Linked DNA regions of Diceros bicornis minor. The protein of the gene in region 4 interacts with the protein of the main gene of each other region in a pairwise test. Links are inferred from orthologs where the notes say so. Each region holds a gene or a part of one and is shown on either strand. Other genes may lie near its edges. The genes, in order: DNAJC7, XRN2, MPPED1 and DISC1.

Region 1 (6,905 bases), on a different chromosome or scaffold from region 4:
GGGATCAAAACAAAGGGCAGACCTCCTATAATTGAGAGCCCAAGTTCTGAACTGAATGCATAGCCTTAGGGATTCAGCACTGACCCCTACTCTAGTCAGGGTGTATTGAAGTGATGTGTCTGTGTCCACTACCAGACAGGCAGCTGTACGTTACTGATCTTTGTTATTCCCAGTATCTGGCCAGGAACTGGCAGAGAGCAAGTGCTCAGTATATGTTGCCATAAAGAGAGTAGAGGGTCGCTGGTTTAAAGGAACCACTGGTCATGTTCTTCTCTGTGCACAGGATGTGGAGGACCAGTTGCTGAAGGGAGCTCTGGCTCAGCTTCCTCTCTTTAACCACCACCCCACAGAAAAATAAGCAGGAATACTATTTTGTGTGGATCTGTCTTAAGCCACTCTTCCTGGGGAAAATGAGCAAATAAGGAGGATATTCTGCTTTCCTGTATGACTTATCTAGGCGACAATCAATGACCTCTAATTCCCAGTCAAGTCCATGGCTAAGATGAAGAACATCAGACAAGAAAGACAGGAGTGAAGAAATCTAAGGGAAAAAGGCTTCGAAAAGGAGACAATTTTTTGTCTCCTCCTTACCCTCCTAAGGGTAAGTCTACCCTTAGACTGACAGACCCAGATGAGAAGCCTCAGACACAGAAATTCCTTCTCCGAAGAGGCCCCAGAGACTTCCTCGAAAGCATCCTAAACACAGGCTTCCCAGAAGAAGCCCCAGAGTCCCCCAGGGAGCAGAAATACAGAGATCACACTCAAAAGGGGTCTCAAACAGAAACCTCTCCAGCGGAAACTCCTGAGTCGGACCCTCCTCCCCACTCCCCCCCGAGGAGCCCCATGTATGTAGTGAGCCCCGGAATAAGGGATACCCATGAGAAAGCCAGAGGGGCCTCCGCCAGATTCCCCACGATGGGACCCCCAGAGGGAGTCAGAGGCCGCAGAAACTTGCCACCTAAAGCGGCCAGACACGGTAGCTGACCCTGGCCTGCCAGCTCCGTACCTCCCGGGGCCCTCGCAGCACCCCGGCCGGGCCCCTCGAGGAACGCAGGGACCGCAGGCAAGGCAGCACGGCCGCAAGGCCTCCGTTCTTCCGGGTCGAGCCAGGCTCTGCGGGCCCCGCCCCCTAGCTTTCGTCCGGCAAGACGAATTCCGGCGGCGGAGAGCGGGCACGGCCCTCACAGCGCCCCCAGACGCCGGCGGGGGAAAGGACGGCCAGGACCTGGGCTGGTTGAGCGCATATGATTCCAGCTCCCCGGACGCGGGCTGTTGGTCCGGTGGGTCTGATGACCAAATGTTCTTTCCCTAAAGGCTACCATAGTTCAGTAACACTTCATTTATTCAATCGTTTATTCATCAGATGTCTTCTGAGCACCTACTCTGTGTCAGGTACAGGACCAAGAGCTGAGAAAAAGCAGACGAATTATACACTGTAGCTGCCCATGAGAATGTCACCGTCTAGAGAAGCCAGACATCTAAACCAACAATTACAGTACAGTATGGCAAGAACTATCACAGAGGAGCTATGGGAGCACAGCAAAGGGGCATTTAACTTGGAGGCAGTGGGCATCATGGAGAGCTTCCTGGAGTAGGTCATGTCTGTGTTGAGGTTTAAAGGGCTTGGGAGGAAAGGGTGGAGAAAGCATGGCAAGAGTCATGGCATTTTCTGGAACTACAAGTACTTGAGTTCAATACTAATGGTAGAAAGGAGCCAAATAATCTTGGGTGGTAGGCCAAAAAGCTCAAACTGTATCCTAACAGCAGTGGAAAGCCATTGATAGGTTTTATGCTAGTGAAGTGATACGATCAATTTTTGCTGTTAAGAAGGTCATTTTGGCAGAAGACTGAAGATTGGAGAGAAATGAGACTGGGGGCCAGTTAGGAGATTTTGGTAGTATTCCAAGTTTTTAAAAAATGACGGGAACCTGAAATGGGATGGAAAGGTGATAGATTTGGGAGACATTTGGTAGGAGAATCAACAAGACTTGGTGGTAAGTTAGGAGTCAGGAGTGAGACGGAGGAGTTCATGATGTTTCCCATCTTTCTCACTTGGTGACCAGGTGAATGGTGACCCGTTCAACAAGATAGGGAATTCAGGAAAAGAGAATCAAGTACAGCATTTGTTTTTCAGTTGTTGAGGGGTGGGGAGAGAATGACAAATTCAATTTAAATATGTTAAGCTTGGGGCCGGCCAAGTGGTGGTTAAGTTCACGAGCTCCGCTTTGGCAGCCCAGAGTTTGCGGGTTCAGATCCCGGGCATGGACCTATGCACCGCTTATCAAGCCATGCTGTGGCAGGTGTCCCACATATAAATAGACGGAGATAGCACAGCTCTTAGCTCAGGGCCACTCTTCCTCAAGAAAAAGAGGAGGATTGGCAACAGATGTTAGCTCAGGGCTAATCTTCCTCACCAAAAAATAAAAAAATATGTTAAGCCTTGAGGATTTGTGAAACATCCAAGAGATATCCGGTAGATAGTTGAATATACAAATCTGGAACTCAGAAGAGAGGTCTAGGTTGGAGATATCAACAGAGCTGAGAGTCAACGACAGATCAAGTTAAAGCTGTGAGAGTAGATGAGTTGGCATAGATGCAGGGAACACAAAGTGGGAAGATGGTGCAAGACTGCCTCCCGCATGAGGCTGTGGACTGGGAGCCATTGGCAGGCAGGGCAGGTGGTCTGTGAGTCTGTGCCCTCCCAATTAAAGCAGGGAGAGTGGGCACTTTGGGAGGGCTATTGAATGATTAGCTGGATGGATGACCTCTCTTCCAACCCACTGAGCCTCTCCCATCCTCCCCTACTCAGGCATGGGTGTGGATTCCCCTCCCTTAGCACTGTGATAGGCAGTGACCATACAAGTAGCCTATGGACAAGGGCACACACTATTTTACTGGAGGAACAGAGTAGATCCTTTTTAAGTGCCCACGCCCCCTTCTTATTTTAGTTTTCCTTAGCTTAAAAATTTTAACCTCAAATTCCCCCAATTTAACCTCAGAAAACCCCAATTTAATTCAGGTCCACAAATATTGCTTTGGGTGAGGGAAGTACTACAAAAACGATTAGGCAGCGTCCTTGCCCTCTGAGTTCCCAATCCAGACTGCATTCGGCAAGACAAGCGCGCTGAGCAGCGAGTTTATCTGAGGGGTGGGGGTACGGGGGACACTGGGGCAGGGAGCTCACCCCGGGAGCTGCCTCATAAACTCCAGGGCAGGGTCTGGGGCTTGCCACCCTCCCTAGCCTTAATGCTGAGATGGCACTCCTAGCCGGCTGACACGAAAGCAGCCTCGTAAAAGGGTCAGCGTCATTAGAGTCATGAACCAGTTGACGCTTGCAGATCCGGAGGGGATGAAAGGCGCGGGGTGAAGACGCCCTGCGTTTCCCTGGCTTGGTTGGGCAGGGCTTCCAGGGGCCGATGAACGCTGGGGAACCGGGCTCAAAGTGTCTCTTCTTGCCTTTCCCAGGAGGAAGCTGTGGACACACTCCAAGGTCGGGAAGGTAGTCGAGGGTGCTCGTTCCCTCCAGAGTCCTGGGTCACTGGGTTCCCACCCAGCTCAGGCTTTCCGGAGCGTTACAGGAGACTCTCTAGGATTGGAGGTTGCTATGGCAACGAGGCTCTTGAAATACTGAGGGAAGCCAAAACCTAGAGAGGCTAGACCCTCCTATTCCGACCCACGGGTACAGTGGCGCCCCCTACGCACAGGAATCGTGCCTGGGCCCCCGCCCCGGGGCGGAGACCACCGTGGACCTCCGGGGGCGGAAGGCCGCTCTGGCCCCAAGTAGAGCCTCTCGCTGGTAGACGGGCTCGAGGGAGCCCCTCTGGGCGCAGCGCCGCCGAGCTGCTCGATGCTCCGACCGGAAGTGCTCTTCACCGCCTGCCTCCCACTCGGCTCTCTGGTCCCGGCGGTAAGATGGCGGCTGCCGCTGGGTGCGATGTGGTAATGGCGGCGACCGAGCCAGAGCTGCTCTACGACGAAGACGCGAAGAGGTAACCGGGTGACAGGGTAGTGGAAGGGACGAGCTTCTGCTCCGTGGCTCCGGGAAACCCGTCCCTGCCATGATGCAGCCCCTAGTTGTGAAGGCGATGCCCCGCCCTCCGCGCCCCCCCCATTTGAGATCGAGTCCGGATGGACCCCCTGAAGGGGCGCTCTCGGAGGTCGGCCCTCCTTCCCGCTTCCGCCTGGCCGGGGAGTTGAGGCACAGCTGTGTTCTCTAGCAGAGAAGAAGGTCGTCCTGACTGTAAAAGCCAGGTCCCTGAGGAGCTCTCAGAGGTCTGTGGCGGGGTGGGGGAGGCGGCGCGGCGACAATGACGACTGCCTTACATCGCCCCTGACCCCCGCCTTCTCTTGTTAACTTCTGTGCATTGTTGTCTGTCAGCATTTTGCATCACCAAAGCCTGTGCTGTCCTCACCCCCTTTTTTCCGTATTTATACCCCAGCGAGTCCTAGTCTGGGTCCGAGGTGATTGTATGTCTCCATTATTGACCTTGTCCTCCCTCCGCCCCCCGGTTACCCCAGAAGTCGGAGGTGATAGAGAAAGAAGGAAGAGTGAGGGGCTTGTTTCATGTCTACACGTCAAACTCCTTTTCCTCCATCCTCCTTCCTAAGATCTTCATTCTTCCAGGACTGTTCTTTCTTAAGCAGGAAGGAGGAGGGCAGCTCCTTGGGCGCTGTTGGCACTGCTGGGCAGCGGCAGTGGCTCGAGTTTGCCAGTCCGGACTAGCCAGGGGAGCTGCTGAGTGAGTGGTTTTCGAGAACGCTCTGGATTCTGGCTACAGCTAAGGCAGGTTGTTGGAAGTGGGGTTGGAACACAGTTGTGGGTAGTCATACTTGACATAATCCTGAAGCAGAATTAACGAAAAGGTTCTGGAAATTTGGAGCCCTTTCTTTATCAACTGCAGATTAGTTGACTACAGTTCCCTCAGTCTCCTTCCCACATATTTCGTATCATTATAGCAAGCTCATTATGGCTTCAGTCTGGGTGATTTGAGGTGGCGATGTAAATTAGTTCATGAGAACTGAAATCAGGATTCTGAGATCTTTTACTGTCCAAGTTAGAAACGTAAGAGGTACTCAGTGAGGCAGAATGAATGGTTATCCAGCTTAAGGGTAGTTACTGCAGCCAGTGTTCCAAGTTCCTGACCTGTTGGGAGCTGAGAGGCTTGACAACATGTAGTAGTAGGTCCCTGGGATGTCAGAGAAGTCAGGATGTCAGAGTCTAGTCTCTCTGTGTTTTTAGTATTGAGTTTTCACATTGTTCCTAGTTCTTTACAGGTATTTAGAATTAAGCATCCTCAGCATCGTTAAGGAACTGCAAAATAAACAAAGAGTTCAACACAGTTTAAATTAATTGTAAGGATCTACTTTGGGAAGAGTTTAGTCGTTCTTTGTGCTATAAATAGAGACTTGGGCTATATGTAATTAAAAAAAACTCATCGTAATCATTGTAAATCTCTGATGTAGGACTGTCTCTAATTTCAGTTTCATTTCAAAGCCTCCTATCTAAAGTAAGTCTTTTTCCTTAAAAAAAAAAAATTACAGCCTTAGAGGGTATTCTATCATAAAACTGTAGTAAATGAGCCTAAAGATAGATTAAAACACGTAAAACAGGTGATGTTGTAATGTGAGCGTGTTATACAAAAACATATGGTATTTGGTAGCAGTTTAACAAAATAGGAGAGGGCCGGCCCTGTGGCTTAGCGGTTAAGTGCGCGCGCTCTGCTGCTGGCGGCCCCGGGCCCGGATCCCGGGCGCGCACCGACGCACCGCTTCTCCGGCCATGCTTGAGGCTGCGTCCCACATACAGCAACTAGAATGGATGTGCAGCTATGACATACAACTACCTACTGGGGCTTTAGGGGGAAAAAATAAATAAAATCTTAACAAAATAGGAGAGGATGTTGACTTATGTTTTTTTTTTTGTGAGGAAGATCAGCCCTGAGCTAACATCCATGCTAATCCTCCTCTTTTTGCTGAGGAAGACTGGCCCGGAGCTAACATCTATTGCCAATCTTCCTCCTTTTTTTTTTCCCCAAAGCCCCAGTAGATAGTTGTATGTCATAGTTGCACATCCTCCTAGTTGCTGTATGTAGGACATGGCCTCAGCATGGCCGGAGAAGCCGTGCGTCGGTGCGCGCCCGGGATCCGAACCCGGGCCGCCAGTAGCGGAGTGGGCGCACTTAACCGCTAAGCCACGGGGCTGGCCCTTGACTTATGTTAACTGCCTTATTTCATAGAATTTAAGATGTCATTGTAAAATGCACAATTTTTAATCTACCACTAAGAAAAAATAATTAAATTTAACTGAAAAAATGCTTTCTTACCAAATAGACTTACATGTTATACATATTTATACGGATATCTTTTAGACATAATAAAACAGATGTTTATTATATACCACTTAGGTGTGAGCAAATCAAAAGGAAAATATAGTGAAATAAAAAAAATCAGTTTGACTTTCTGCCATATAAGGCATCCTTAGGAGGGTAAACATTGAGATCCATTATTAAGAAAAAGCTTTGTTTACCTATGGATTTCCAGTGCTGAAAGTGGAGTGGGGATTTAGAAGATTTGGAGGAAGGTTGTTTTACATTTTACACATATCCTGGAATCCTCCTGTGTAGGCATAGCAAAGGGCAGGGATAGGAACTCCTTTACAAGTGCCCTTTAGTATCTGGCTTGGTTAGTCATTTGACCAAGTTTCTGTCTCTCATTACAGTCCGACTACCAGTTCATCTGGGGACACGGAAGTTGATGGGTCTCTTGGGTTGTTTTTGTGAAGTCCAGCCTGGAGTCCTTCCTTCCTTGTGTCTTGGCTCAAGGACATCCTGCTGCTGCTGCTAAATTTTTACTGTCCCACAGGAGGCAAAATGAGAGAAGCTTGCAAGACCCTGGACCTCGTGGTT
Region 2 (7,769 bases), on a different chromosome or scaffold from region 4:
TGACTTTATTTATTAATTTTTTTTGTGAGGAAGATCAGCCCTGAGCTAACATCCATGCTAATCCTCCTCTTTTTGCTGAGGAAGACCGGCTCTGAGCTAACATCTATTGCCAATCCTCCTCCTTTTTTTTTCCCCCAAAGCCCCAGTAGATAGCTGTATGTCATAGTCACACATTCTTCTAGTTGTAGCCACATACATAGCTGTATGTGGGACGCTGCCTCAGTATGGCTGGACAAGCAGTGCATTGGTGCGTGCCCGGGATCCGAACCTGGGCCGCCAATAGCAGAGCGTGTGCACTTAACCGCTAAGCCATGGGGCCGGCCCTCCATTGACTTTAATCACAGGGCATGGTAATACTAAGAGATTCCCCAAGAGATCTCCTATATTCCAGACATACCCTTCCTTACCTCCTTTGTGGAGTAGCAGTCCAATTTCCTCTTGGTAGTCAAGGTCAATCACCCCAGCCAACACAGTAACTCCCTCTCTGCCTGTTGAACTTAAAATGGCCAGGTGCCAGTCTTAACTTTCAGTTCAGTGGAATCATTACCATGTCTCCTGGTGGAAGCATTCCTTCCTTTGGAACTAAGACCTCTAGGTTCGCAGAGTATAAGGTTACAGGAACAGGAAGCAAAAATTTTGCCACTGGGTCACTATGGGTAATAGTGAGTGGTGCCACTCCTATTTCTACCCCTTGATACCTGGACCTGTGAATCTTGGCTATGGGAGAAATAGTACCATATATGGAATGCTGCTTTAGAGCATATACAGCCTCCTGGAGTACCTTGTCCCATCCCTGCAAGGCATTGCCCCCTAACTGACAGTATAACTGAGGCTTCACCAGGCCATTCCACTGTTCTACCTACCAGCTGCTTCAGGATGGTAGGGAAAACAGCAAGACTAGTGAATTTCATGAGCATGGACCCATTGCTGTTCTTCATTGCTATGAAGAGAGTTCTTTCATCAGAAGCAATGCTTTTTGGAATACCATAATGGTGGATAAGGCATTCTAGTCCACGGGTGGCAGTTTTGGCAGAAGCATTGTGGGAAGGGAAGGCAAATTTGTATCCAGCATGTGTCTGTTCCAATAAGAACAAATGCTGCCCCTTTCATGATGGAAGTGGTCCAAGACTAATCAGAATTAAGGGTCTCAATGCCCCCAGCTCCATCAGTATTCCCACATGTCCTTATTCCAACTTTTAGGATTCCATCCATTCCTTCCCAAACACTGCCCTCACTTTATCAGTAGACATCAGTGAGGCTGGGAATTCAATTTGTTTTGTAATTCACTCCCAGGATAAAGTTCTGAGATAGTAGATAGGGTTCTGAGTTTGGTTTTCAGCCATCTCAGCCCTGTGGCTACAGGGGATAAGGGTTTCTTTCAGGGCAGACATAGATTCTTTTAAGTCATTTATGTGGTGCTTGAGCTGGGAAATTGAATCTCTGAGTTCATCCTTTTCTCTCCCCACTTTGTCCACCAACGTTAGGAGCAACCAGCCAATCCCACTATATTTGTTAGTTTGACAAAAATGCTTGAAGTATCATATACATGGTCACCCAGATTCTTGCTTTTTATAAGTGGTTGATTAGGAATATCCAGTGGTGATATTTTGCCTATCTCTATTGCCAGATCACACCATGTACTATCAGTGCTCTCTTTATTACTGGAAATAGTCCCCAGTGTCTTTAAATCTAATCAGATTAGAGAGTCAATTCCAGAAGCCCCAGAACCAAATCAGAAAATGCATTCTTAAGATTCTATTCCTCTCAAACCATTCCTGGTACCAAAATCTGTATTAGTCAGGGTTCTCCAGAGAAAGAGAACCAATAGGATGTATGTGTGTGTATACATATATATATATATAAAGAGATTTATTATAAGAAATTGGCTCACCCAATTAGGGAGACTGTCAAGTCCAAATCTGCAGTGTGAGCTAGATAACCCAGGAGAGCTGATGGTGTAGTTCCAGTCCAAAGGCTGGCAGCCTGGAGTCCCAGGAAAGCAGATGGTGCAGATGAATTCTGAAGGCAGTCTGCTGGAGAATTCCCTTTTGCTTAGGGAGGCTGGTCTTTTTGTTCTGTTCAGGCCTTCAATGGACTGGATAAGGCCCATGCACATTATGGAGGACAATCTGCTTTACTCTACCAATTAGAATGTTAATCTCATAGGAAAACACCCTTGCAAAAACACCCAGAATAAAATTTGACCAAATATTGGGGCATTCTGTGGCCCTGTCAAGTTGACACATAAAATTAACTATCACAACTATTATTTTAAATACATCAGGTTATTCACAATGAATTTTGTAAAGATAATGAGGCAAAGGAAGCACTTGATAATCCAGATAGCAATAGTTTTTTCAAAATTTTTTAAAGATTCATTTCTATAATTACAATGTTAACAAGGCTTTAAAATGAATTTATGAATGTTCACATTCTGGTTTCTATATAGTCTACACGTTAATGTAATCTAGATGTCAGCTGGGAGGCCTCCCCTGCTCCCTTGAGGTCTAGGCAAAAATGATTCAAAACCTCCTGGTTCCTATCCTACAGAAGTTCAAAGCCTGGTTCAATATTCCTGCTAATTTCCAATGCTTACAAATTCTCACCTCTTCTGCTTCTTGAGCTCTGCTATGCTGCCCAGCCCTGTGACTGTACACCACAGTGACCCCGACATGAGACTCATACTCTTTTTCAAATTCGACAACACAAACCCCACAGTGAGCCTGAGTCTGGTAGACTTTATTAGAAACACTGGGCTGGGGAAGGTATCTCACAATACTTAGTCCATATCCTCCTGCCATCTTTCAGGTTCCCTCTCTTCTCTACTTCCACTTTCACCCTCCCCTTTTCTCAGTGCCCAAAATTCCAATTTTTGTACCTCCTTTATGCAAAGCAATTCTAGCACCCAGGTGAATTAGCTGTGTACTCCTCAAATTTTGTTACTGGTTTGTTTGGATTCTTTCCTTTGCAAGGGATGGGAACTTAGCCCAAACTAGCTTGGGACAAAAGGAGAATTTACTGGCTCATAGAATTAAAGAATAGGTTTACCAACCAAGCTGCAGGAAGAGGGATTTAGCTGTACTCAAAAACCACTGGAACCAGGGACTTAAATCTGCTTCTCTCATTGTGGACTGGCAGCAAGTCCCATTCTCTTTCAGCTTTCAGCTATCTGGGAGGGACTGCCTTACCTTCCTATGGTTCTCAGTTCAAAAATGCTGGGCAAGGACTCTCAATGGCCCAATTTGCCCAGCTGTTCAATCACGTACCTTGTGTGTGGTCTTACAAGAACACAGCACCTCCTAGGGGAACCAAATACTTGATGAGTAGGGCCTGTTTCCAGAAGAAATGAGGGACTTCACAATAGACATAATACTCTGGAATAGTTCTGGCTGTCCTTAAGTAAAATATGGGCTAACCATTTCTCTTAATTTCCACACCAGCAGTTTAAACAGTTTAAAGAAGTTTAAAGTGGCATCAGACCACAGAGGAAGGGGCAGTAAATATTTGCACACCAGGTAGCACGGAGAAATACTTTCATAGAGGCCTCTTGAGGTGAGCCTTTAGGACTGAGCGTGATTTGTCAAGCCAAGAGGGGATTCCATGGAGAAACACTTCCAGGCTTGAACAAATGGACATAAATATCTCTTCTTCCAGATCTCTTTGTATATGCTTAAAAAAAGGATTTGAAGCCATCAGAAAATAAAGAATAAAAGCATCCTGTTACTGTAAGGACAGCATTAAACGATCTTTACTTGGACTGAAACACAGCAGTATGAATAAGCAAGCATAATTTCATTTATTTATTTTTTCCCCCCAAAGCCCCAGTAGATAGTTGTATGTCATAGCTGCACATCCTTCTAGTTGCTGTATGTGGGACGCGGCCTCAGCACGGCTGGAGAAGCGGCGCGTCGGTGGGCGTCGGGGATCCGAACCGAGGCCGCCAGTCGCGGAGCGCACGCGCTTAACCGCTAAGCCACGGGGCCGGCCCGATAAGCAAGTAACTTAACCCCTTTACAGCTTGGCTTTCTCATCTGTTACATGAAGATGATAATATGTTAACACTCTCAGAAGGTTCACGTGACAATTAAATGAGATAATCCCTTAGCCAAAGCTTTAGTACGTGGTAAGCACTCAAATGCTGGAGAGTGATACCAGCAATTATTTTATACTCATAAATGTAGCTGGAAGGTTGAATTAGATGCTAAATGCCGGCTAGATCCCCTTTTATAACTAAAGGGAGTTACGCAAACCAGCCATCATTCGTGTAAAATACCTAAAAATATTCCTTTTCATAGTCCAAGTACGTACTGTGGCACAAAACCGGGAGAAACCAGGCCATAGAAATAATGAGTGTGTTTAGACGCTTTGATTCTACTCTGAATTGAGATGGGTGAGAAAAAGGAGGTGATCAAACCGGCAAGGAAGACCTCCCCGGGCGCCTGCGGAGCACGGGGATCCCGCCCCAGTGGAACCCGAGGGCTGGGGAAGCAAGACGCCGGCGCATCCCGGGATTCCCCGCGACTCACATGAGGTCGACCTCGGGCTTCAGGGCTGGCACCACTGAAAGCTAACGCCGCAAGCGAGGCCAGCCGCAGCCCCCACCACCCGGTCAGCCGCAGAACCCCGAATCCCACAACCAGCCCGGCCCCGAGCCTCCTTCCCGGCTTCCCCGGCGGCGGCGCCGTGACATCACTTCCCGGACGGCGCGCACGTGGGAGGAAGTCCCGGTGCCGCGGCTGCCGCTCCCGCCTGTCTCTGGTTACGTTCGTTCGTCCGGGGCCGCGCCGCCGCTATGGGAGTCCCGGCTTTCTTTCGCTGGCTCAGCCGCAAGTACCCGTCCATCATTGTCAACTGCGTGGAAGAGAAGGTGAGGCGGTGCCTGGCGGCAAGCCCGGAGCCCCAGCGCGTCTGGGCCGCGGCCCTCGGGACCCGCCGGCCGTCCCCGGGGTGCCGTCCGGGGCCCGCGCTGCTCTGTGGGCCCCGCGGGCGCCCGCGGCCCGACACGCGGTTGGTCGCCGACACTCGTTTCCGGGGCCCTGGGAGAGCAGCCTCGGCGGGGCGAGGGCCGAGCGGGGTCTGTGCTCGCTGGAGGGCTGCTCCTCCCCTGCCCGCTTTTTCCGGCCCGGAAGGCCCCGCCCACGGCTTTGTTTCCTCTCGGCACAGCGCATTTTGGGTTTCAGAACAGGCTCGAAGGTGTTGGGCTGCACACGCCTGGTCCGCTGAGTTACCTGGGTAGCGAGGCGCACATGTTGATTCCAGCCTCTTACAACCTTGTAAAGTAACCCCCCGCGGCGAGCTTTCTGTTGTTTACTGCCCGTGCTCGAAAGGTTTTCTCCTGGTGCGAAAGGACTTTTGTTGCTGTTTTAGATCCTACGGTGAAAGCAGCATCTTAGAAACGTCTAGGACGAGATAGAAGTCTCATAAGTGCCCCCTTCTCTAGGTGCCCCGACTGCTGGACAGAATGCTTGTTGAAATTTTCAGAATTCCTGGATGCACTTAAATACTTGTTGTTTGTTTGTTAATGTATATGTAGACTTCTGGCCATTATTGAGTTTTCTCTTTATCGTTCCCGTGATCCCGTCCGAGTTCGATTTTGTGCTTAGAATTTCCGGATTGGGAAGGTTCAGCGGCGCTTCATGCCCCTCGCCCCTTCGTTTTTGAAGGAAGTGCCCGTCAGTCACAGTGAACTGCATTCTTTTGCTGAGGTTGGTGAGATCTTGATTTTTACTTAGCTTCTATCCAGGAGGAACCGAAAGCCTTGTTTTGACGGCAGTTTCAGTATTCCTTGTGTTTTTCCCAAAGAGAAGCTGTTAAACTGAATGCTGGTTTCCTTTGTTTTTAAAACTTCCATCAAACTTTACTTGCATCTCATCCCGTTTCTACTCTGTAGAGATAACCATTTTTAACTGTTTTGGTTCTGTCTCTAGATATCATGATTATGCCTGATTTATTGGTTTTGGATCTATCTGTTGAATTCTAGCTATGATAGAAGAGGATTTCGTCACTTATGCGGCTCCCCCGCCCCATTCCTAATAGTAAATCGCTGTCTTTATTTCATCTCTTGGTAAGCTTTATAACTTTGAGTAATGTGTCTTTTTTATTACATCTTCTATTTAAAGTATCCCTTGACTTCTCACTTTCTAAGGTTAGGTATTAGCTTTTCTATAAGTTTTCTACCTCTGCTGCTCTTACTCTTCACGCCAAGCTTGCCAGCTGTACTTTTGCTTTGTTGGCATCCCAAACTAAATTGTCACGGCTTTGGCTATATATAGGATTGTTTTAAAAGCTGAAAAATCAAATAGTATTGTAAATTATTGTCACTTTCCAGATTCAAGTTATGCTGTGATACTGTTTCTTTTCTTGTGCTACTTTTGTCTTTTTCTTGGTGTTATCTTTCTGTTTTCCTCTTTATACGGTTCCACATCCAAACTCGCTGTTTTATTAGGTGTTCTATCAAGTCCTCTTCTTGGAGACTCCTTCTTGAGGTCTTTATTTCTGTTGTTGTCACACCTGGTTCTTTAGGCTTGCTGGAAAGCTGCTTCCTGAGATTTTTAAAAATTCCTTTCTTCAGTTGAGGGTACTATTTTCTGATCATCTTTCTTGGCCTAAATCCTTCCTTGGTTTTTATTCTCAATTGAATTCTTAAGAAATGCTGTGCAGGGTGTGAGTTTTCTGATTCTGTTCTACCCTTGTACACATGAGTGATCATTAGCTAGGCATCAAGTTTGAGTTTGCAAATTAGTTTCCCTCAAATCTTTGAAAGTGCTGTTCTTTTGACTTATGTCATCCAGTATTTTTGATGAGTTTTTTTTTGTGAGGAAGATCGGCCCTGAGCTAACATCTGCCAATCCTCCCCTTTTTGCTAAGGAAGACTGGCCCTGGGCTAACATCCGTGCCAATCTTCCTCCACTTTATATGGGACGTTGCCACAGCATGGCTTGCCAGGCGGTGCGTCGGTGCCCGCCCGGGATCCAAACCGGCGAACCCTGGGCCGCCGCAGCGGAGTGCGCGCACTTAACTGGTTGCACCACCAGGCCAGCCCTTTGATGAGAAGTTGAATGTTAATGTGATTTATTTATTTAACCGATACTTATGTAGTATTTAACACATACCAGGCACTGTTCTAGGCACTTTATAGATTAATTTATTAAATTCTCATAACAACCACATGACTACTACTACTTACTATTATTATTATTACAGATGAGAAAACTGAAGCACAGAGGGGTTAAGTAATGTACTCAGGGTCACTTGGCTAATACACGGCAGAGCCATTGTCAAAATCAGGAAGGCCATGCTCTTAATTTCTGTGTTCTGCTTTCATTCTTTTGTAGTTGATCTATTTTTCTTTCTGAATCTTTTCAAGATCTTTATCCTTGGTAGTGTAAGTGTTCATGATTATGTACTTAGGTATAGATTTTTTTAAAATTTAAGTTTATTTTGATTGGTGCTTGGCTGACTCTGAGGCTGAAGACGTGTGTTCTTCAGTTCTAGGGAATGCTCCTTGATTGTTTCCTGACCTCCTTTTTCACTGCCCTCTCTGAACTCTGGATCCTGGTCCTCCTAGACTGATGTATTTTTCTTTTGTCTCTCTGTTCTCCCCCTCCTCTCCTCCTCCTCTTGCAGCTTTATTGAGGTATTATTGACCTACAACAAACTGCACATATTTAAAGTGTACAGTTTAATACATTTTGAGATATGTGCACATCCATGAAACCATCACCATAATCAAGATAATGAGCGTCACCTCTAAAACATTCCTTCTGGCC
Region 3 (7,263 bases), on a different chromosome or scaffold from region 4:
CTCCGTCCCTCCCGATATTCTGGTGATCATAGAAAAGTTGGAGACGACAAGGTCCCATAAATTAAGTAAAAAATCACCCATTATCTCATCCCCAGGGTTGACATTTTGCTCTATATACTTCCTATCTTCTTGTTCTCCCTCTTCCTAATTCTCATTCATCAAGGCACAGAATCAGGTGCACTCCTGTGTAGCCTACTTCACTTGTTCATAGGATGTGTGACGAGCACGGATATCATTTTCCCGCCACATCACATTTCAGCAACATGATTTGGCTACTTGAAATTCCCTGGACATACCATAATTTTTTAAACCGATCCCCCCTGGCTGGGCATTTAGCTTGTTTCTGATTTGGGGCTATTATAGACAGCCTGCGGTTACTGCCTTGGGACACCTTCCTGGAAGGTGAATTTCTTGGCCAGGGGGTATCATACCATGTTCCTTTGAGACTCTGAGCCTTTGCACAGGCTGGCCCCTCTACTGGGGGGTCCCTCTCCCATTTATTCCCAGAGTGAAGTCTTACTCCTCCGCAACACACACATCACCTCCTTCTGAAGCGGTCCCAGGCTGCATCTGCTGCCCTTCTCCCCGCCCTCAGGTGCCCTCTTCTCCCTGGTGTCATGAGCATCTGCCGACCTCCTGTCTCTCTGTGGGCAGACAGCCTGCCTTCTCCTCTTTCTCTCCCCGGCCTCCAGCACATAGTAGGTGCCTGGGAATAGCATCCCAGCTGAACGAGCCCTCCCCTGCCTGGTTTCGCAGTGTGGGCCTATGTGGTGTTTCTGTTAGTCTTCATGAACAAGTGCCACTGTGTTATTAAATTTTTCCAAAAGCAGAATGTCTGCTGTGTTTGCCAGATTGGTTGCTCTTTTAGGAGTGGGTCTACGCTGCCCATCCCACACTCCTCATTCTCTGTCTTTCAGAACCCATTAGTTGGGCACCTACTGAGCCCCAGGTCCTGTGGGATGAGTCAGAGCCCCACCTCCAGGAAGCAGCCTGGTCCAGGGTAGGTGTGGGTCAAACTCAGAGCTCAGTGCCTGGGACTGGGTGGTACAGGCCCCTTTGGGGGGAGCTCATGATTTGCTCCAAAGGAAGTGCTCCAAAGAAGTGCTAGGCATATAGTAGGTGCTCAATAAATGCGTGTAACAAGAAGGTAAGAGATGGTGTTCTGGCAGCTGAGGGGAGGGCTGGTGGGGTTGGAGGTGGTGAGGAAGGTGGCCTGGAGGATGAGAATCACAGGAACTTCTGTGCTCTCTCCCCAGGGACCAGGAACACAGATTCTCCACTGTCTCAAACTGTGTATCCTTTGGGGTCTCCTGAGGCCATGGCCAAACTGTGGCTCTGACCTTGGCAGGCAGCAGGTGGAGTCTGTTGGGCTATTGAGCTCAAGTCCTGTCTCCCGGGCAGGCATGATGGTTTTCATCTCCCTCGGAGACATCGTGCTCAGGAAGCCTGGAGCCCTCAAGGGAGAAAGGTGCTCCCCGCTGAGTCTGGGACGCTCCTTCATGCTCCACAGAGGTGCGCAGCTCAGCTGGAGGAGCTGGGAGGCTCTGGTGCTAAGGGGAGTTTAGGTTAGTGATCTCATCCTTCATTCGCTCATTCATTCATTCACTCACTCACTCACTCACTCAACACTGGCCTTGTCCTGGGCGCTGGGACACAGGACACCATAGAGCATCTTGCTCACATGTCCTCAGAGGCTCCCATGGCCTGCTGAGCGTGGCACTCAAGGCCCCACGTGGCCTGCCTCATGGCATGTTCCAGTCCCTTAGGGGTCTGCACCCTCCTATCCTCCCTGCCCTTCTCCTCTTGGGCATCTGCACTTCCTATTATCAGGAACGCCTGTCAGTCTCATCTCCCCTGTCCACATTCTGACCTTTCTTCCAGGCCCAGCCCTCGTGCCCTCTTCCAGGAAGCCCTGCTCCGCCCCCAGGGTGGGCATCTCTCCCTTCCCCACCCCACACTCGGTCCAGGCTGGTCCCTGAGTATCTCTCCCCTTTAGTCTCTCACTGGCCAAGGCTGGATGGCAGGGGCTGCACCAGGTGCCCCCTGCCTCCCCAGCCACCCAGCACAGGCCTGGCACACACACGGTTCCTAGGATGACACAGGTGCCAAGTGGATGTTGCAGCCACCTGAGCAGTGCGGCTGACAGCGGATTCGGGCCACTGACCCGACTTCCTCCTGGGCAGCAGTCTGTGCCTTCACCTGGGCTTTCTTCCCTGAATTCCCAGGTCACTGCTCCCACGCTCCTCTCGTCTTGGCTTGGGAAGAGCTTCCTTGGGGCTCCGACCCTCACAGGGCAGGCAGACCCGAGCTGGGCATCTTGCAAAGGTCCGTGTGGCCCTGGTGGGCAGAGTGAGTAATCATGGGGGGGACGTGTCTGGCGGGGTGAGGGCACTGGGGAAGCTGCTTCCCAGGACTGGCCCTGGAGAGAGACGGTGTGGCAGCTCGCTGCTCCCGAGGAGAAGCACAGGGCCTGCCCAGGCTGTGCCCCCACTCAGGGCCTCACTTGTCCTTCCACTCGACCGGCTGAGGGTGTATTTCCAGCCTGGCCTCTTCTCTCGGCCCCAGAATCGCCCCAGCACAGGGTGACAGAAGTGAGGTCCACAGACAAGGAAGAGGAGGAGGGTGCCCATCTGAGGCTCCCTGGGTCAGCCTCTGCCCCCTATCCTGCCTGAGGGCCCCAGCCCAGGCCTCCATCATCTCCCTTGGCAGCGCCAGCGTCTCCCTGACAGCCCCTTCTCCTCCTCTGTCAGGGCTGCCTCAGCAAACTCTAAAAAGATAAATGCGACCAAGTCATGCCCCTGCTGAAAAACCTTCTATGGCTCCCCACCACCCCCAATAAAGTCTACTTAGGCAGGCAGCTAAGGCTCTTCCTGATCCAGCCCCTGTTCCCCGCCCCCCCCTTCTCCAGCCCCACTGAAGCTGCCATTCCAAACATGCCAAGGCCTTTGCATGCACTGTTCCCTCTGCCTGGAATGCCTTTTCCATACCTTCTCTCCTTAGCAGACACTTACTCAGTTGGGGTGTGTCCACCTCCACGAAGCCACCCTGAGGTAGCTATCCCCACTTCCCCTCCTGCACCTGTGAGGGGAATTTTTCTGTGTCCCTGTCTGCCTTTCTACCAGACTGGGCTCTCCCCAAGGGCATGCCAGGCCTGAGGTGCCCACACAGGGTGTCCTCAGGGACTGTGTCTGAAGCTGCGATGAATGCAGGAGTGGGTGGCATGTGTGACCTGAGTGTGGTGGGGGAAGGGGACTCAAACATTTGTGGAGGTGCCTTAGATGGGCCTCAGAGGAGCCACACCCCCTTCTCACCTCCCTCTCAGTCCGGGACTGGCCTGTGTCGTGACACCTCTCTCCACCGGTGGCAGGGGGACAGAGGTCACAAGGGGCCTCTCAAACTCCCCAGGGTGGGACCACCTTGGTTGGCGGTGTTGCTCTCCCCTCTCCCCAACAAGGCAGGGCCTTCTTCAGACCAAGGCCAGATTCTCAAGCCCTGATCTGCTTACCTGCCTCACTCCGGGTTAGGCCCCAGCCGGCCACCCAGTGCACCCAGGGACTGGGGACCTGGGACCCCCAGGGGAAAGGATGGGGGCACAGGAAGGGGACCCAGGCCTATTCAGCCTAGGAGCTGGGGTCTTCCCAAAAGGGGGGCGGAGGGGGTACTCTCAGACCCCCAGCGGGAGGGTTCCAGAGCAGGGTGCCCTCGCCGCCCGGGGAGGGGGTCCGGGCCGGGGGCGGGGGCCACGGCGCCCCGGAAGGAGCCGCGCGCTCCTGCACGCGGTGCCCGCTGCGGCGGCCGCGGATCCGGAGGTGAGAGCGCCCCCGCCCCGCTCCCCGCCCACCCCGCGCGCGGCCAGGCCTGGGGTTTTGGGGGCGGGCCGGCGCGGGGCGCGGGGCGCGGCGGGCCGGCCGCCTGCCCTTTTCCGCAGCGCGGGCCGCGCTCCTCCTGCCCCCGTCCGGGCCGCCTGCCCCGCTCCCCACCCCTGGGCGGCGGGATGCGGGCGCCGGGCCCGGGCGGGGGCCGAGGGCCGAGGCCTGGCCGGCCTGGCGGGGGCCCCGGCGGGTGGCCGCGCTGGGCCCGGGCCCGAGGGCGCGAGCGCGCCCCTCCCGGCGCCGGGGCGGGGGGAGGCGGGGTGGGAGGAGGGAGGGAGGAGGGCGGCGGCGGGAGGGGGAGCTGTTGAGGCTCGGAGCCGCGCGGCGGGCGGGCGAAGGAGGGGGCGCCGGGGAGCCCCCCGCCCCCCGAAGGAGGAGTCTGGCTCCCACTTGCTGCCTCGGACGCGCGGCGAGGCGGCCGCCGCCGGAGGAGCCCCCGCCCCTGCGCGCCTCCCTCCGCGGAGCCGGGCCCCTGCCTCCCTCCGTGCGCGCAGCTGCTCGCGGCCGCCGCGGCCGCCGAAGAGGAGCCCGGGGCCAGGTAGGGCCGGGGGCGGGCGGGGAGCTGGCCGGGGCGCGGCGGGCGCGGGGCGTGGGCGCCGGAATGGCCGGGGCGCGGCCGGGACCCTCTCCAGGCGCGGGGTGACGCCCGCGGCGCCGCGCAGGGGCGCCCGCAAAGTTACTTTGGCTGCCTTTGCCCGGTGCTTGCTCCCCGGCCGGGCACCCCCGCTGCCCTGCCCGCCGAGCGGGCGCCGCCGGGGACTCGGTCGGGCGCTGGACTCTGACTGGGGCCGAGGGGTCAACGAAACTTTTCCCCAGCTCGCCAGTCGCTGCTGGCTGCTGGCGGAGTAGGTGGTGGGAGAAGCGAACTGGTCGGGTGCGAGTGATGATGATGGTGATAACAATAGCAGCCCGTGGTCGTTGAGAGCCTACTGTGCGCAGCGGAGCCCTTCTGGTACTTGGAGGCAGGGGAGGGGGGGATTAATGCTGGTCTAGTGGCCACTTTTGCTAGGCATTGCTGGAAACTTCATCCATCCGTCCATCCATCTATCCACTCACTCATTCCACACATATTTATTACTGTCTGCTGTGTGCCGGGCGCAGGGGATTCCGTGACTAACCAGGCGGGTCCCAGCCCTCACAGGCGATATTTCATAGAATGCCCAGGTTAGGGAGCAGTCCCGTCTCCTGTGTGTTTATTCTGGGACTTGCTATAGGAGAGTGAATTCACGCACAGTCTCCCAGGCCCCGGGTGGAGACGGAGGAGGGTCAGTCTGAGAGCTCACATGTTGAGGAGTCTGCGGCGGGCCGAGGCTTGGGGTCCTACACCCACCCTCCTGCATCCCCTGCTATCTCCTCTCCACTTGGGCTGGGAGGCCCCACCCTGGAACTGGCCCCCAGGTCTGCCCGGCCACCTTTCTGGGATGTCTCTCCCCCAGTGCTGGATCCGAACCTTTCCCAGTTCTCCAGGAGCTTGGTTGCCTCCCCCTCCCCATTTCCAAGGCCCCTATTGAACAGCCCGGAGGAGAGCTTGTTAAGTGGCAAATAATTATGAAATTAAACCAGGGAACAAAAGTGGGCCCGCTGGTGAATGGTTGAGCTGGCTCGCAGGACTTCAATGGTGGTGCAGACTTGTTAGCAGGGATCAACCACGCTGGGGGGCTCAGGCAGACACCCCTACTGTCAATACCCTGACTGGTCTTTGCAAAAAAAATAAGAAAAAAAAAATTAAACCAACTTCGTGAATAATTTGTCTCCTCAGCTAAAATGCTTTGGGGGATGTCGGAGAGGCCACCAGCTGACTGCCACATCCAAGTTGGAAGCCAGGCCTTGGTCCATGGCACTGGGCGGCCATTTGGGAAGGGAGTGGTGGATTTGGCTGGGCTGAGGCAGGCTTCTGGCGGTAGGGAGCACACAGGGACTTTAGAGCCAGCCGGTGGTGATCGGGAGGCATTCTGGATCCGGGCACAGTGTATAGGGGACCACTGTGTGGGAGCCATGCATAATAAACCGTGCTTCACGATGCCAGCTCCCTGCAAATTGGCTTTCCGAGTGGCAGCCCTACAACACTTGTAAAATCTTTTTTTTCTCAAGATGGGTTTCTGCGAAATGGTTACATCTATTTGAGTGCTCACTCGGTGGAGGTACATTAATTGGCTGATGCCTAGTCAAAAGGCAATAATCCAGTGGCAGAGGTTTAATTGTGTATTCGGAAGGGGTTCAACTGCCTTCCTATTTGTTTCTCCGCCCCGGGAATTTCAGAAGACCTGGAGTGAAGTAGATCCCCGTACTGTCGATGTGGGTAGCCTGCCTGCACGATGCCGTGTCTCGGATGTAACTGCTGTGTGTGCACTTAGAATCCTGTACACACACCCCTGCCGATGCCCCGTGGGCTGTGTTTGTGGAAAGACAGAACAGGTCTAAGTTTAGGTAAAAAAACTGAGGCTTTGAGGTCTTTCTGCCCAAACTGTGTCAGTAATGCATAGACCAACATGTAGAATAACCATTCAAGAAAAGCCTGCTTTTTAGAAATTTCCCAATCCACCCGTGAGAGTATTAAATTTTCATCCAATGAAAGTAATTTAAGTTCATTTGTTTTCCTTGAACTTGCTGCATTCCCCTGCAGGCAGCGATGGCCCCTCGTGTACTCACCTAATCCAGGACACATCTCTCTGTACTTGTCTGAGGAATTAAGGATGGTAGCAGGATTTCCCTGAAGGGTAGCACTCAAGGAGAAAAATCAGCATTCTGGGTGCGGGTTCCGGATGAGTGGAAAACAGAAAACCCTCCCAAAGTGCAATCATCTTTTAATCTATCAAAATGATTTCATTTTTTCAATTTCAGGCCTGTGAACTGATTGTGAATAGCAGGGCAGAGGAAATGAATTGGCCAGGCAAAGACTTTTAACAAGTAAATATCATGCACAGAAAAACATGCAATTAGTGGAGGTTAGTTAATGCCTTTCAAGTTACGGCGAGCTGCTGTTGAGGGTGGAATTTCTGCGTTATCCCTGAAGTGTCTGTCAAAATCTTTAATGTGACAATGTGACATGTCTCTCCCATCGCCCCTCCCTCACCGGGAACAGAAAAAGGGTCTTTTAAAGCGTCCCCCCCTCTCCATTCTTCTTCTCCCTGAGATCTCTCCATTCTGTGGTTGGTACCTTTGTCTGCCCGCACCTCTGGAGTGAGGGACCCTAGGGGAAGGGGCTCCCCAGATGCAGGGGCCTGGGCTGGGTTCTGAGGCTCACTCTGTACCAACAGATCACAGTTAATGGCATCTCAGATGAGAGAGAGGCTGCTTGAGAGATCTTCCTTCTGGCCAAATGTCTCGCCCTCTAGGGTCAGATGTGCCAAACACTTGGGGGGCAGTGAGGAGAGGGGGTGAAGGGAATGTT
Region 4 (6,945 bases):
AGCATAATAAATTCTGGCTTCTTTTTTTCTAAATTAATGTCTTAATGTTCAAGCAACAAGCAAATATTATTTTTTTCATTTAAAACAATAATAGTTTGCATCCCATTTTTGAAACAGATATAAATTGATGGACATAGCACAGAAATGGATTACAAGAGCAGAGACACCAAGCTATTTGTCTCTATTGACACTCCACTCCCCTTCCTTTTGGCCACTTGCTTTCTGTGGCTCAGGATCACTGTTGTTTTTTTATGTTCTTTTTCTTATTTATAGTTTTCTGTGCTTCCTGTAATGAGCACGCATTGCTTTTGGAAAAAGAAAAAAGAATAAGAGAAATTTCATTTAGGAAACAAATGACTTAGGAATTGTTTCTGCAGCCTGTAGACCTGGCATTCACCCCCCTTCAGGTGCACAGACTTTCTCTGAAGGTCCACGTCCCTCTGAGGTCATCTCAGTGAGCAGTGAGGTCCCTACAGAAATGTCCTGGGTCCCAGCCCTGCAAGGTAACCATGACACCAAAAGCCTCAATCCCAGTTACACCTCTTGTGCCATTCTAAGGTTTCTGGCAAATTTAAGCGTTAAAATAAAATTAATTCCGATTCCATTTAGTCTGAGATTTGCAATGAGTTATTGTAATACGTTCTTTCAAGATTTTAATACCTTTTTTATTGCAAATTTTCATTGTTTATTTTTGCAAGAAAATAATTTAAAATGGGATTTTAAAATAGAGATGAAAGAAATTAAGATTATTTCAAAGTCTCTTCTGCCAGGGCTAACAATTCACTCATATTTTAGAGTCTGTAAACATGCAAGACATTATTAACTGTAATCTAACATTGGTCTACTCTGAACCATGGCTCATCTCCATAACTTCAGTTTGGTCAGCGGTTGAGAACACACTTGTGAGAGGCACCCACACCGGATTTTAATCCTGGCTCTACTCTTAACAGCTATGTGACCTTGGGACAAAAGCAGAGTAACCTTGATTATCAGCTTTGTACAGGGAAAATGAGGATTATAAATATCTACCTCACAAAGGTTTGGGGCGGATTTCATCAGAAGAATTCCTAACAGATGGCCTGACATTGTAAGCTCTCAAAAAATTGCCCCTGTTATTCTTCCCTCCTGGTAGCAGTGACGTCTCATATTAGCCAGTGACTCAGACTCTTCAAGGTGCTTCCAGATTTTTTACCTCATTTGATCCTCAGGCAGCTCTGTCAGTACAAAAAGCCATAATTACCGTCCGCATTTTTCTTTTCTTTTATCTTTTGTGTAAACAGATGAGGAAACCGAGGCTCAGGGTCAAAGCACTCCAGACCGCTTTTTGCTCAGTGACACAGTTCTCAGCTGAACCCCAAAAGACTTTATGTGCCGTACCTGAATGGAATAAAACTAAATTTCTTCTCAAATACTCTGCTATTCATACTTTAATCAAATCAAACTGGTATTTCCACATCTCTCCAAATCATTTAGGTTTTGCTTAGTAAAAATAGCAACTAAGGTTATTTAGAGCTTACTCCACATCTCAGGCCCTGGGCTCAGTGCTTCACAGCCACTGCCACATTTAAACCCCGTAACAACCCTATGAGGTGGGCACTGTCATTGTCCCCATTTAACAAATGGGGAAACTGAGGCATGGCTAAGTCCAAGACTGAGATGCAGGCAGACTATCTCCAAATTCCAACTCTTAGTTCTCTGGTACTACCCAAATTGCATTTGTCCAACTGACAGTTCGGTTGGCAAAATGCCTTCATGCACAACACGTGTGAGACAAGGAGGCGAGGTAATGGGTGCTCTCTCTTACATTTGAGGAAACCAAGGCTCCCAGATGCTAAGCGTTGTGTCTAAAATTACCCGGCCCTCTGGTGGCCCAGCAAGGACGCAACGGCAGCACTCCCTGACTCCAACCCGCATTCTCGTCCGAAAGTCTCAAATGCCTTTGTAGGTATTTTAAGAGTAAGGTGGTAGGACACGTCCTGTCACTCTTGAAAAGCAACCATCAACTTAATGGCTTCGGTGTCAACACTGAGAGTTGACAGCGTGACCCGTGTTCTGGGAAGTGGAAACGGAGCGGTCTCTCCTTAGCCCGGCCGTGGGCGTTGCTGTCGCCAAGTCGGAAGTGGGAGGCGAAATTGTTTGCAGAGCAGCCCCTTGGGCAGGTGCCAGCACCACATTCCTCATCCCACCCCCAGCTCCTCTCTCCGGGTCCCCGACGGGGTGGAACCCGTCTCTCAGCGGGGTCTCGGGACGAGGGCGAGCCGGGCGTCCCCTGTCCCACAGGTGAGCGGGTGAGGGCGCACAGCGACGAGAGGCTCGGCGGCGCCGGGTCCCGGGACTGACCCAAACCCCAGGCAGGCCCTTGCCGCCTTCCTCGGCCACCAAGACCCGCCACGGGGGCGGGTCCTACCAGCGCTGTTTCGAAAACTGCCGCTCGCCGGGATCTCAGTACAGTCGGAGGGGAGAGACCTGGCCCGGCTCGGCGCAGGCGGGCAGCCCCAGACCGGACTCCTCCCCCAACCCCGCACGCCACGCGCCCTGCCTCAGTTTCCCTCACCTCGAAAAGGGTGCACAGAACCCAAGCTGTTAACAGAGGCACACCCAGACCCACACGATTTCCAGGGGGCAGAGCGCGCCCTCCCTGCCCGGATGCCCCCGGCCCCGCCCGCCTGCGGTGACAGCTACCCTACCTGCGCGGTGGCCCCCGCCGCCACCGGCCGGGGCGCCCTGGGGACCCCCGCCCAGCATGCGCCCCGCCGGCTCCTCCCGCTCCGCTTCCGCCGCCTCCAGCTCGTCGGCGGTCAGCAGGCTCGGTGCGCCCGAGGCCCGCGGAGGGGGAAGCGAGGCGCCGAGCCGGACGGGAAGTGGGGAGGGGGCCGGCGAGGAATAGGGAGGCTCCTTCCTTCTCCCCGGCGAGGCGAGCGGTTTCCTTTCCAGCCTCGGCCCCTTATGCACACACATACACACACACACACTCACACACACGCACGCACGCGGCTGGGGCGGGCGGCCCGGCAGGCCCACAGCCCGTCTCCCAGACCTCTGAAAGTTCGCTTTTCACTCTCGCTCATTTGTGGGCGAAAATGAGAGGGGAAGTGCGGTGGGGCGAACGGGAGCGCAGGGAAGGAGAGACGGCGAGGCCACCAGGGGTGGGTCTACGAGGGCGCCTCCCACACGCGTGATTAGGGAAGTGACCAAAGGGTTGGTGAGGAGACGGAGGGGATGAAAGGGTGAGGAGAAAGCGGGGAGACGACAGATGACGCTGGGAAAGAGATGAATGGGAGCAGTTGTTCAAAAATGAAATGTGAATCCAACTTTTTGAATCTTCAGGCAGCACTGGACTGGTCCCAGAGCCCCCTCCCCATCTTGGACGCAAGCTGTGATCCGTGCGGAGCTCCTAGGCTACTGACTCACCTCCTTCACTTCTTCTCTTTGGCTCATTCAGGAAGGCTACTGGAGCACCCCCTTAGGTAGCACCTGCCAGAAATGGTTCTTGCCCTTAAGGAGCTCGCCTCCAGTCGGGAAGATAAACAGATGCATATAAAACTAAATAGCAACATATGGTAGGATATGCCAAGAGCCAGAGTCTTGGCACAAGAGTCTTGGCACGGAAAGTGTTGCAGAAGTTCCAGGGTAAGAGGGAGTCTTGTGAAGAGTCAGGGAGACCTTCTGGAGGAGTGGGCAGGATGTCACTAGAACTAGAGGAGGGCCAAGGTCCTTCAAAAGATAAGAATCTTGGGAGTGAAAACGCACTCCCAAGTCGTTGTGTTGTGGACAGAATGAATATGAGAATGGATATTAAGGATGTGTGGAAGATGGAAGGAGCATAAAGCTGGATCTGGCTGAGTTTAATGATATATACCACTAAGAGAACTGGATTCAAAGCTGTAGTTTGAGAGATTAGAAAAGGCTCTAACAGTTTGGTTCTAGATTGAAACATGGACCAAGAGCTGTCCTACACTGGAAATGCGAGAACTGCCTTGCTATACTGCTAAGGAAGTACCCAAAGGCTTAGGGGGATTGGAATATCAGAGTGGATTTATCATGTAAGACCTGCTTTCCACTCCAGGAGGGTTCAGAGGACACACCTTTCACTGTGACTCAGAAATAACCTTGTGACCCAGCATCCTTGGTCACTCTTCTCTCTGTCAGACATTACAATGGGAACTGCAGCCACTGAACTAGGATCCTTGAATGCAACGGGGATAATTGGATTATAGTTGACAGGGGTCAAATGGTGGCAATGAATCACCCAAGGCAAGGTGGGCATGATTTCTGTAATGGACAACAGAGTCAAAGCACAATCAGAATAGTCTGACTCCCACAGACCTACAGTGTCGGTGTCGGCAAGTTGATCATGGCGTTCCTAGAAGTGAAATAGATGGGAGGCCTACTAAATTCTTATTTGATCTGTATAAGCAGAAAAGTTCTAGGTCAAGTGAACAAAAGCCTAACTTGAATTACCAGAACAGAGAGACTCAGCCCTTCGATCAACTGGCAGACTTGAGGCAGTTTACCAACCCAGAACTTCTTGAATGAAGGAGGAAAGACCCTACAACACTGCCCAAAATGTATACTGTTACTCTTTCTTCTAGCCCTCCCCAAGGGGACATATGGCCTCTTACCAGGGTGACTGTGCATTGGAAAAAGGAAATAATCAGACTTTTCAGGAATTACTGGACACCGGCTCTGAACTGACACTAATTCCAGGAGACCTAAAACATCACTATGGTCTACCAGGCAGAGTAGGGGCTTATGGAGGTCAAGTGATCAACAGAGTTTTAGCTCAGTTCCCTCTCACAGTGGGTTCCTGCACCCATCCTGTGGTTATTTCTCTAGTTCTGGAATGCATAATTGGAATAGACATACTCAGCAACTGGCAGAATCCCCACATTGGTTTTCTGACCTGTGAAGTGAGGGCTATTATGGTCGGAAAGGCCAAGTGGAAGCCACTACAACTGCCTCCACCTAGGAAAAGAGTTAACCAAAAGCAATTCTGCATGCGAAGACAGATAAAAAAGATTAATGCCACCATCAAGGACTTGAAAGATGCAGGGGTGGTGATACCCACCACTTCCCCATTCAGCGTGTCCATGTGGCCTGTGCAGAAAACAGATGGATTTGGAGAATGACAGTGGATTATCATAAACTTAACCAGATGGTGATTCCAGCTGCAGCTGCTACACCGGATGTAGTTCCATTGTTTGAGCCAATTAACACATCTCCTAGTACCTAGTATGCAGCTGTTGATCTGTGAATGTTTTTTCTTCATATCTGTTAGTAAAGACCACCAGAAGCAGCATTCTTTCAGCTGGCAAGACCAGCAATACACCTTCACTGTCCTACCTCAGGGATATATCAACCCTACCTCATAATTCAGTCAAGCAGGGACCTTATTGCCTTTCCTTTCTGACACTGGTCCATTACATTGGTGACGTTATGCTGGTTGGACCTAGTGAGTATGAAGTAGTAACTACTCTAGGCTTATTGGTGAGACACTTGCATGTCAGAGAGTGGAAAATAAATCTGACAAAAATTCAGAGGCCTTCCATCAGTGGATTTTCTAGAGGTCCAGTGGTGTGAGACATCCCTTCTAAGGTGAAGGATAAGTTGTATTTGGCCCTTTCTATAACCCAAAAAACAGGCTCAACACCTAATGGTCCTCATTGGGTTTTAGAAGCAACATATTTCTCATTTGGGTGTGCTTGCTACTCAAGCCCATTTACCAAATGACCTAAAAAGTCGCTAGTTTTGAGTAGGCCCAGAACAAAAAAGGCTCTCTGCAACAGGTCCAGGCTGCCATGCAAGCTTCTCTGCCACTTCTCTGCCATAAGATCCGGCCAATCCAATGGTACCTGAAGTGTCAGTGGTGATAGAGATGCTGATGGAGGCTTTGTCAGGCCCCTATAGTTGAATCACATCACAGATTCTTAAGATTTTGGAGCAAAGTCCTGCCATCCTCTGTGGATAACTAATCTCGTTTTGAGAAACAGCTGTTGAGTTACTACTGGGCCTTAGTGGAGACTGAGCTCTTATCCATGGGCCATCAGGTTACCCTGCAACCTGAACTGTCCATCATGAACTGGGTGTTGTCTGACCCACAAGCCGCAAAGTTGGGCGAACATAGCAGTGCTCCATCAAATGAAAGTAGTATATATGAGACTGGTCTGCCTGAGCAGACCCTAAAGGCACAAGTAAGTTACATGAGGAAGTGACCCAAATGCCCATGGTCCCCACTCCTGCTACATCACCTTCTCTCTCCCAGCCTGCAGCTATGGCCTCATAGGGAGTTCCCTACGATCAGTTGACTGAGGAAGAGAAAACTCAGGCCTAGTTTACAGATGTTCCTGCACAATGTTCAGGCACCATCCAAGAGTAGACAGCCATAGCACTACAGCTCCTTTCTGGGACATTCCTGAAAGACAGCAGTGAAGGAAAATCCTCCCAGTGGACAGAACTTTGAGTAGCGAACCTTGTTTTTCAGTTTGCTTGAAAGGAGAAATGGCCAGAGGTACAAGTGTATGACAATTCGGGGACTGTGGCCAATGGTTTGGCTGGATAGTCAAGAATTTGAAAGGAACATGATTGGAAAATTGGTGGCAAGGAGATCTGAGGAAGAGGTATGTGGAGAGACCTCTCTGAACGGGCAAAAAACTTGAAGATATTTGTGTCCCATGTGATTGTTCACCAAAGGGTGACCTCAGCAGAGGAGGATTTTAATCATCAAGTGGATAGGATAACCCATTCTATGGATACCAGTCAATCTCTTGCCCCAGCCACTCCTGACATTGCCCAATGGGCTCATGAACAAAGTGGCCATGGTGGCAGGGATGCAAGTTATGCATGGGCTCAGCAACATAGACTTCCACTCACCAAGGCCAATCTGACTATGGCCACTGCTGAGTGTCCAATCTTGCAACAGCAGAGACCAAAAATATGGCACCATTC

Evidence for each region.
Region 1: the proteins of DISC1 (region 4) and DNAJC7 interact in binary tests that used the Homo sapiens proteins (3 or more experiments, as listed by UniProt). The link is inferred for Diceros bicornis minor from reciprocal best matches to the Homo sapiens genes DISC1 and DNAJC7.
Region 2: the proteins of DISC1 (region 4) and XRN2 interact in binary tests that used the Homo sapiens proteins (3 or more experiments, as listed by UniProt). The link is inferred for Diceros bicornis minor from reciprocal best matches to the Homo sapiens genes DISC1 and XRN2.
Region 3: the proteins of DISC1 (region 4) and MPPED1 interact in a two-hybrid assay, tested with the Homo sapiens proteins (2 studies listed by BioGRID and IntAct). The link is inferred for Diceros bicornis minor from reciprocal best matches to the Homo sapiens genes DISC1 and MPPED1.

What each region holds. Positions count from the first base shown.
Region 1 is NC_080757.1:41,231,830-41,238,734, reverse strand, and holds the start of DNAJC7 (dnaJ homolog subfamily C member 7), read left to right. Parts: upstream 1-3,883; 5' UTR 3,884-3,912; coding exon 3,913-3,989; intron 3,990-6,905. UniProt on the Homo sapiens protein: Acts as a co-chaperone regulating the molecular chaperones HSP70 and HSP90 in folding of steroid receptors, such as the glucocorticoid receptor and the progesterone receptor.
Region 2 is NC_080758.1:47,785,152-47,792,920, forward strand, and holds the start of XRN2 (5'-3' exoribonuclease 2), read left to right. Parts: upstream 1-4,750; 5' UTR 4,751-4,792; coding exon 4,793-4,867; intron 4,868-5,310; exon of another isoform or gene 5,311-5,636; coding exon of another isoform or gene 5,637-5,705; intron 5,706-7,769. UniProt on the Homo sapiens protein: Possesses 5'->3' exoribonuclease activity. May promote the termination of transcription by RNA polymerase II.
Region 3 is NC_080764.1:6,667,863-6,675,125, reverse strand, and holds the start of MPPED1 (metallophosphoesterase domain-containing protein 1), read left to right. Parts: upstream 1-4,257; 5' UTR 4,258-4,410; intron 4,411-7,263. UniProt on the Homo sapiens protein: May have metallophosphoesterase activity (in vitro).
Region 4 is NC_080745.1:24,572,590-24,579,534, forward strand, and holds the start of DISC1 (disrupted in schizophrenia 1 protein), read right to left. Parts: upstream 3,015-6,945; 5' UTR 2,959-3,014; coding exon 2,688-2,958; intron 1-2,687. UniProt on the Homo sapiens protein: Involved in the regulation of multiple aspects of embryonic and adult neurogenesis. Required for neural progenitor proliferation in the ventrical/subventrical zone during embryonic brain development and in the adult dentate gyrus of the hippocampus.